2 linked regions of the Astyanax mexicanus genome follow. The protein of the gene in region 1 interacts with the protein of each later gene in a pairwise test. Links are inferred from orthologs where the notes say so. Each region holds a gene or a part of one and is shown on either strand. Other genes may lie near its edges.

Region 1 (3,753 bases):
ACTGACTGCACATTAGCTCTGAAGGCATCATGTGGTATCTGGCACCAACATGTTACCAGCAGCAGATCCATTAAGCTCTGTATGTTGTGAGTTTGGGCCTGAACAGATTGCATCAATGAGCTGCCCCTTAAGGTGCCCCTTAACCTGTTGCCAGTTCACAGGTTGTCCTTTTTTGGACCACATTGCAGAAAAAAACCCACAACCACCTGATGTTTAAGAGATGCTCTAAGCCCATAGTTGTCTAGCCGTCATAGTTACGCTATTGTCAAAGCGGGTCAAATCCTGATTTTTGTCCATGTTTTGTGTTTTTAACATCACCTTCAAAAATGACTGTTCACTTGCTGCATAATATGTTAAATCCCACTGAAGACCAAGATAATCAATATATTTTTTTGCTGCGGCTGTCAGTGGTTCTTATGTAATAGCTAATCGATACATAGCTACATAGTTGAGCGTAATTGATTGGCCAAGACATGTTTGGTACCTGAAGTTTGCTTCGTTAGTTTGGACTTGAACTTATGATAAGTATTACTTTTGTAAAATATAGCTATTATACATTTTTACTATAGTTAGTAGTTTAGTATAGTTTCAAAGCTTTAGCAAAAAAAAACAATTTTAGACACCAAACACATCTGATCAACCTCATCCGAGATGAGAGAAATTGTACACTACAGGCCAGTGTGTTTGTATAAGAGAAATCTTTAGCAATACATGGGCCAAAAGTTTGGACACACCTTCTCATTGTTTTTTGTGCAGATTAATATTTGGTTAATATTGAAGAAATATACTATGAAGAAATACATATGGACTTTACACACTTCAGGTAACCACTTCAAGATTGTTAGAAAAATATTCACAGTGACTTATGAAGCTGAACAAGAGAAAAAAATGACCCAGACTGTTTAAAGCTGTCATTAAAGCAAATCAGGACTGATGTGAAGAATCGAATAAAAAAATATTCTGGTTTAACACTGTTTCTATGAAAAAATATTATTTATTAAGTAGTTTCATCGTTTTCAATATGAACTGCAATGTAGAAAATAAAAGGAAAAAACATCAAATGAGAAGGTGTTTGTCTAAATATGTCAGTACTTAAGGAAACAATACTACAACACACCAAAAACTATAAACACTGACTCGCTACTGTATCACCACATTATAAACACATCACAGGTCATCCGCTCATCTCAGTGTTTGTATTTGAGATAAATATGGCCAAAGCTTGAGGTCACTGAAAGTAATTGCAGGTAACAGAATTGTGGTCATATACTGTTCATTATATCCTTGCTGGGGGTAAAATGGTTTGTCAGATTAGGTCTTCAGTACACTTTTTTTGTTTGGGTTTGATGGTTTATCTGGTTCTATAAGAAGGACCAACCTGACCAACAAGACCAAGCTGGACTAACATGACCAAACTCAAAAGCAACATAGACAATACTGGGAGTAGTTAGTCAACAAGCTGGGTTATAACTTTTCTATCTGTGACCAAAATTGAAGTTCACATAAACATAATGTGGCTTTGAAGCAGTATACCAAATCCATCATTTTTTTTATTTGGTAACCAGCTATTCAAGCACATTGCCCCTGAAAGACCATCAAAACCAGCTACTAGCAAAAGCTGGTATTGGGGTGGATTTTTCAGCAGGGAAATCCTATTAACTCAATCAAACACTAATTAATTAGCTAATCAAGTATAAGCTAAAGCTTACCTGTGGTGTTCACAACAACAGCTTTACACTACCACTACTATAAATCATACTCAAAAACAACCAAAGAAAACTGGAACATGCAGGTAAACCTATATAATGTAAACATGACAGACTGAAAATCTTATAGGAAGCAGCTTGTTTACATTTTTTATAAACACGACGGAACACAAAGCAAACACTGCAGGACACGTATTTAATAACTAAAAATGAAGCTAAATCTCAGACACTGAGGTACTCACTGAAGATCCTGCCCAAAACGGGCACGAATTCCGGATGGGAGGCGAGTTACTGAGGGACAGAGCCCCAAAGGACAGCGCTACCATGGAGCAGCCGAGGACCAGCTGCAGCAGCCCGAGCGAGAGCAGCGGTCGAGCGGGCAGCAGCGCGGGGGAGAGCCGCGCCTGGGAGCCGGACATTCGCCACCGAGCGGCGGCCGAGCAGCAGCGGCTGCGGCCTCTGGAAGACGGCGAGGGCTCTCCGAAGTGAGGGGCTAGAGAAGCCCGGGCTAAGCGACAGCAGGAACCGGGCAGGACTACCGGCAGAGACATTGGAGAAGAGCGGCCAGGAGAGGAGCAGCAGTGACCGGGGAGCGGAGGCGGCTCGGGTCCCTCATTTTACTCCGAATGGGTTCAGCTGAAACCGGCGGGAGGAGCTGCTGGATCCCCTCAGCGCTCCGTCCATGATCCTCTCGAGGTGGAGAGAAAGAAACAGAGAACACGAGGGTCTAAAATAACTCCTGGCGCCCGGATTGCGTTTCACATAGTTGGCAAAGAGACAAGAGAAGAAGAGGAGGAGGAGGAGGAGGAGGAGTGTGTGGGAATAGACCACCCTGCACTGAGAGAGAGAGAGAGAGAGAGAGAGAGAGAGAGAACAAGAGTGTGTGAGAGAAATATAGGGAGAAAAAGAAAGAAAGCGAGAGAACAAGAGAAAAGGAGAGAGAATTGGAGAGATAACAAAAGAGAAAAAGAGAAAGAATAAGAGAGACAGAAAGCGAGATAACAAGAAAAAAGATTAAAGGAGAAAAAGAGAGATGTGTATGACAGAGAAAAAAAGAACAAGAGAAAGAAAGAGAGAAAGAACAAGAGAGAACAAGAGTGTGAATGGGAGAAAGAGAAAGAAAGCAAGAGAACAAAAGGAAAAGAGAACAGGAGAAAAAAAGAAAGAACAAGAGAAAGAGTGTGTGACAAAGAGAACAAGAGAAAAGGAGAGAGAAAAAGAGAAAAAAGAAAAAAGAGAGTGTGTGTGTGAGAGCAAAAGAGAAAGAACAAGAGAGTACAAGAGTGTGTGAGGGAGAAAGAGAAAGAAAGCAAGAGAACAAGAAAAAGAGAATGAGAGAACAAGAGTGTGTGAAAACAAGAGGGAGAAAAAAAGGAAATGAGAAAAACAGTAGAAAAAGAGAAAGAACAGGACTAAAGGGAAAGAACAAGAGTTAGAAAAAAGAAGATAGAGAACAAGTGACTGTGACAGAGAGAGATAGAGAACAAGAGAGAGAAAGAAAAAGAGGGAGAACAAGAGAGAAAGAAAAAAGAAAGGGAGAGAGTGGGAGTGAAGAAAGATGATTTTGCTGATTCTTTTTTATTTAAACCAAACAGCAGTCATGCTCTCATCTTAGAGTGCATTATAATAAATCAATCATTTCTTAAAATAAGATGACCACAAACAGATTTTAATAAATCAAACCAATAAAAAAAGCAAAGCTCCTTCTCCTTCACACTGCCTTGTCCCAGCACCACACAGACGTGAAAGCTTCTAAAATCATGCTGAAGGTTAAAAGCTTCTAAATCATGCCACAGATTTAAAAGCTTTTAAACATATGCTACATACTTAAAGGTGTCTTACCATGCCGCTTATTTAAAAGCTTCTAGATCATCGAATCATCAAATAGCCATTAAAAGCTACTTAAAAATGCCCTTAAAAGTAATTTCCTGTAAAAGAATCAAAATGAAAAAAAAATAATAGAACGAATCCCCATTCAAATTAATTGAATCGCCATTTAAAAGGATCGCACATAGACTGTATATAAAGATGGACGCCGTGTCGCCGT
Region 2 (3,753 bases), on another chromosome or scaffold:
CAGCCAGACCGTGTCATATGCAGCTGTGAGGTCCAGGAAAACAGCACCAGCTTTCTCACCTGCCTGAAAGCTTTCCTCTATGTCGTGGCACAGGAGGGTCACCTGATCTGTTGTTGATCTGCCACTTCGGAAACCAGCTTGTTCTTTGGGCAACTGGGGGTCAATCACTGGGGTGAGGCGTGCCAGGACGAGACGCTCAAGAAGCTTGTAAGGAACACACAGAAGTGAGATGGGCCGGTATCCCTTTGGGTCATCGCTTGGCTTGTTCGGTTTCGGGAGGGCTATCACCTTTGCACAACGCCAGATCTTGGGCAGCTTTAAGTACCGGAGGCATGCAGAGAGAAAGGAACAGAGCCAGTCAGTTGCTTTCTTGCCTTGGTGTTTTATGTACTCAGAATGGATGCCGTCTATGCCTGGTGCCTTGCCAGTCTTCAGGCATTGGATTACCAGTTCAAGTTCTTGCGTTGTGAAGTTGTTAGATAGGTTGGAATCGCATCCTGGGGCCCTAAGCAGCTCATGGACTCTTACTGATAAGAGGTCTTTATAGGTCTGTAGAGACTGAATGCGCACCATGCACCTCAGTGTTTGCTGCGGCTCTGATTTTTTACATTGCCTTTTACAGTTAGAGTTGCTGTCATTCCTAGTTGCTTCCACTTTGTTATATCACTGACAGTTGACTGTGGAATATTTAGTAATTAGAAAATTAACTGGGCTTGTTGCATAGGGGGCATTTTATCACGATACCATGTTGGCATCCACTGAGCTCCTGAAAGCTGCCCATTCTTTTACTAATGTTAATAGATTCAGTCTTAATGTCTAGGTGCTTGGTTTCATACACTTGTGGACATGGAAGTGATATGAACATTTGCCATTATACCGCATGTCACACACTTAGCAAAACCACATAATGGAGTTTAAAATATGGAAATCACTGCTCCATAAAAGCCTTCAGAAGAAAGTGTCTATCTATAAAAATCTCTTTGCCAGCTTCTATATATAAAAATGTACAATCTCAATTATCCCATTCAATTGCATTAAAACAATAATTTGGTAAATAAAATGTATTCGATTAACCTCTAGTCCTACGCTTCAGTGCTGGCCTAAGCACACACACACACACACACACACACACACACATACAGCAGCAGGATGCACCAGTTGCTGCAAAAGTCAGCTTATTACCCCACATTTTGGCTCCATTTAAGACTAGACATTATATTTAGCTGTATGTTCTGCTTATGATCTGATCTTTAGTTTAAGTGTACATCCAACAGACTCAAAAACAGTCTAAAATTCACATATATAATTAGCTAAGTCCATAAGTCCAAGTCATGTTACTAGCACTGTAAAAAATATAAACTTTGCTAAAATTACCTGTTTAATTAATTCTAAAATTAAGTGTCAAGAAGGTCACCAACCTTTTACTGTCTTGTAAAAAACAGTTAAGTTATACATTTCCTCAGCAGCCAGTGAACTCAAATTTTGTTTATTACCGGTAACTAGCTAAGCAAGCTAAGCTAAGTTAGCGTAGCCCTGTGATATGCTAACGTTGCTAGCTAGATCGTTAGGGGTACTCTAACGTCTTAAAAAAGTCAAACGTTAAATAAACAGCTGTCACTTCACCCACCAACCCAAAGTTAGCTAGTTAACCTTAATGTGGGGAGAATTAGTTTGTCAACTAGGCAATGCTCACAAAACAACCGAGACGATTTAACTTATCTAGCTTAGTTAAGTAGTTAGCTAGCTAGCTATTTCGTAGCTTTTTCATATCAGCTAAGCTAAGCTAAGCTAGGCTAAAGGCAGGCACAGACAGTTGGCTAGCTAGCTATCTATGTTTGTTTATTAGCTAACAGTTAGCTAATCTAATGACCTAACCTAGCTTTATTTTGTCTAATTTTGCTCATGCTTTGTTTAATTATATCCAGATGTTTGTCAAAACCATTTAATATGTTACTGTCACAAGTCACAGCCTTTAAAACTGAACCTAGGTTAGCTTCCTAGCTCATTTGCTCGGATTTAGCGGAATCCGTTCCACCTTAAAACGGTGCATCCGCTCCATTCTGTCAGATCAGCATTTGCAGCATTCAACTGCTACACCATTTAAGGTGGAACGGATAATTCCACTAAAAACCAACATAAACCTCGCACAAATCGGCAGGGCCTTGCACTAGTGACCGCCATTTTTACTCAAACTGCACTGAGAGTGTGTGTGAAGGTGTGTTAGAGTGTGTACTAAAGTGTGTGTGTAAGCCACAACAGCTGACCTTTGTTAGCTTAATAAAATAAACATGAAGAAATACTTGCCGAAGCTGTGAACGCAGCTTATAACAAGCTAGCTAGCTAGCTAACCTAGCTACAATACCATATAACTACCAGGGCAATCCCGGGTTAGCTGTTAAAACCCCTCCAATACAAATAACAACATCAGCAGCAGCTACACAACATCCAAACAAGCAAACAAACAAATCAGAGCTGTGTAATAAATATAAACTCACACAGTCCGTCGCCCTCCTCCTCTCAGCGGAGAGGTCGCAGTCAGTGTGTTTTCCTGCTGAGCTGTTTCTGCTACTGCTTCTGTAGCAGTGTGTGTGTCTGTTCTCCAAAGCTGGACAGGCAGAGCTATACAGTCATTGGTCTGACCATCTCTCTCTCTCTCTCTCTCTCTCTCTCTCTCTCTCTCTCTCTCTCTCTCTCTCTCTCTCTCTCTCTCTCTCTCTCCCTGTGTCTGTCTGTCTCTCTCTCCCTCTCTCTTTCTCTCTCTCTGATATCCAGATTCACACACCGCAGAGAAACCCCTCCACACGTCCAATGACGTAATTTAAAGAACCATGTAACTTAGTATCTCTTATAACTTCAACATTCAACAAAAATATTGAAGTTATTACTTCAACTAAGTCCAAAGGGCAAATCTTGTTCTCCACCTTACTTACCTACTTACAGTACCAGTCAGTGGTTTGGACACACCTCTTCTCATTTCTCATTTAATGGGTCCTATTTTACACCCTGTGCAAGGTGAGTTTTGTGCTATCATACACCACGCCAACAGCCCTGTACTGTTTAAATAGTGACGGAGTTTACAAATATATCACATTTCTGTAAATTTCTGTCATGTTGCTATCTTGGCAGTGAAAAACATAGGTGCGCCACTTACTGATTAAACTCTGACAACAGTCAACATGCTCATTGCTATCTTGGCAATGCAGGTGTGCTGTGCATGCTCAACGGCATGCATTACACACACACGCAAGTCACACAACAGAGCACAGACTCAACTTTTACATCAACAATAAACAAAACACACAATAAAATAACATTGCTGTCCCTGAAAAATGACCTGGTCACACATCTGCAAAGAAGCACAGAAGCGATACGCCATCGGCCAAAGTCAGAGGGAATGGCAAGAGACAGAGTGATTGGTTTATTTTACATTATGCTTAAAACATAACCATAAATAATTAAGAAAATTAGTACATGCCTTTAGCTGCATACAGATAGGTACAATAGAGCCCAATGTGTTTTTTTTTACATTGTAAATTTAATATTGAAGACATTAAAGCTATACAGGATCACATGAGGAATTATTGTGTAAAGAATTAAAAGTGTTAAGGTCTTGTCTCAGTTAAAGGCAGTGTTAATGATCTAATAAAAAGAAAGAGACTGGGTATCCATGGGAGAGTTCCAAGGCAAAAACCTCTGCTGATCAAAAATTCTCAGCCCTACTTGGGTTCTGCAGCAGGACAATGGTCCGAAGCA

What was found.
Region 2: the proteins of fam189a2 (region 1) and NEDD4-like E3 ubiquitin-protein ligase WWP1 interact in binary tests that used the Homo sapiens proteins (3 or more experiments, as listed by UniProt). The link is inferred for Astyanax mexicanus from reciprocal best matches to the Homo sapiens genes ENTREP1 and WWP1.

What each region holds. Positions count from the first base shown.
Region 1 is NC_064429.1:24,065,775-24,069,527, reverse strand, and holds the start of fam189a2 (protein FAM189A2), read right to left. Parts: upstream 2,539-3,753; 5' UTR 2,258-2,538; coding exon 1,949-2,257; intron 1-1,948. UniProt on the Homo sapiens protein: Functions as an activator of the E3 ubiquitin protein ligase ITCH in the ubiquitination of the CXCL12-activated CXCR4 receptor. Thereby, triggers CXCR4 endocytosis and desensitization, negatively regulating the CXCL12/CXCR4 signaling pathway.
Region 2 is NC_064413.1:45,898,488-45,902,240, forward strand, and holds the start of NEDD4-like E3 ubiquitin-protein ligase WWP1, read right to left. Parts: upstream 2,544-3,753; 5' UTR 2,496-2,543; intron 1-2,495. UniProt on the Homo sapiens protein: E3 ubiquitin-protein ligase which accepts ubiquitin from an E2 ubiquitin-conjugating enzyme in the form of a thioester and then directly transfers the ubiquitin to targeted substrates.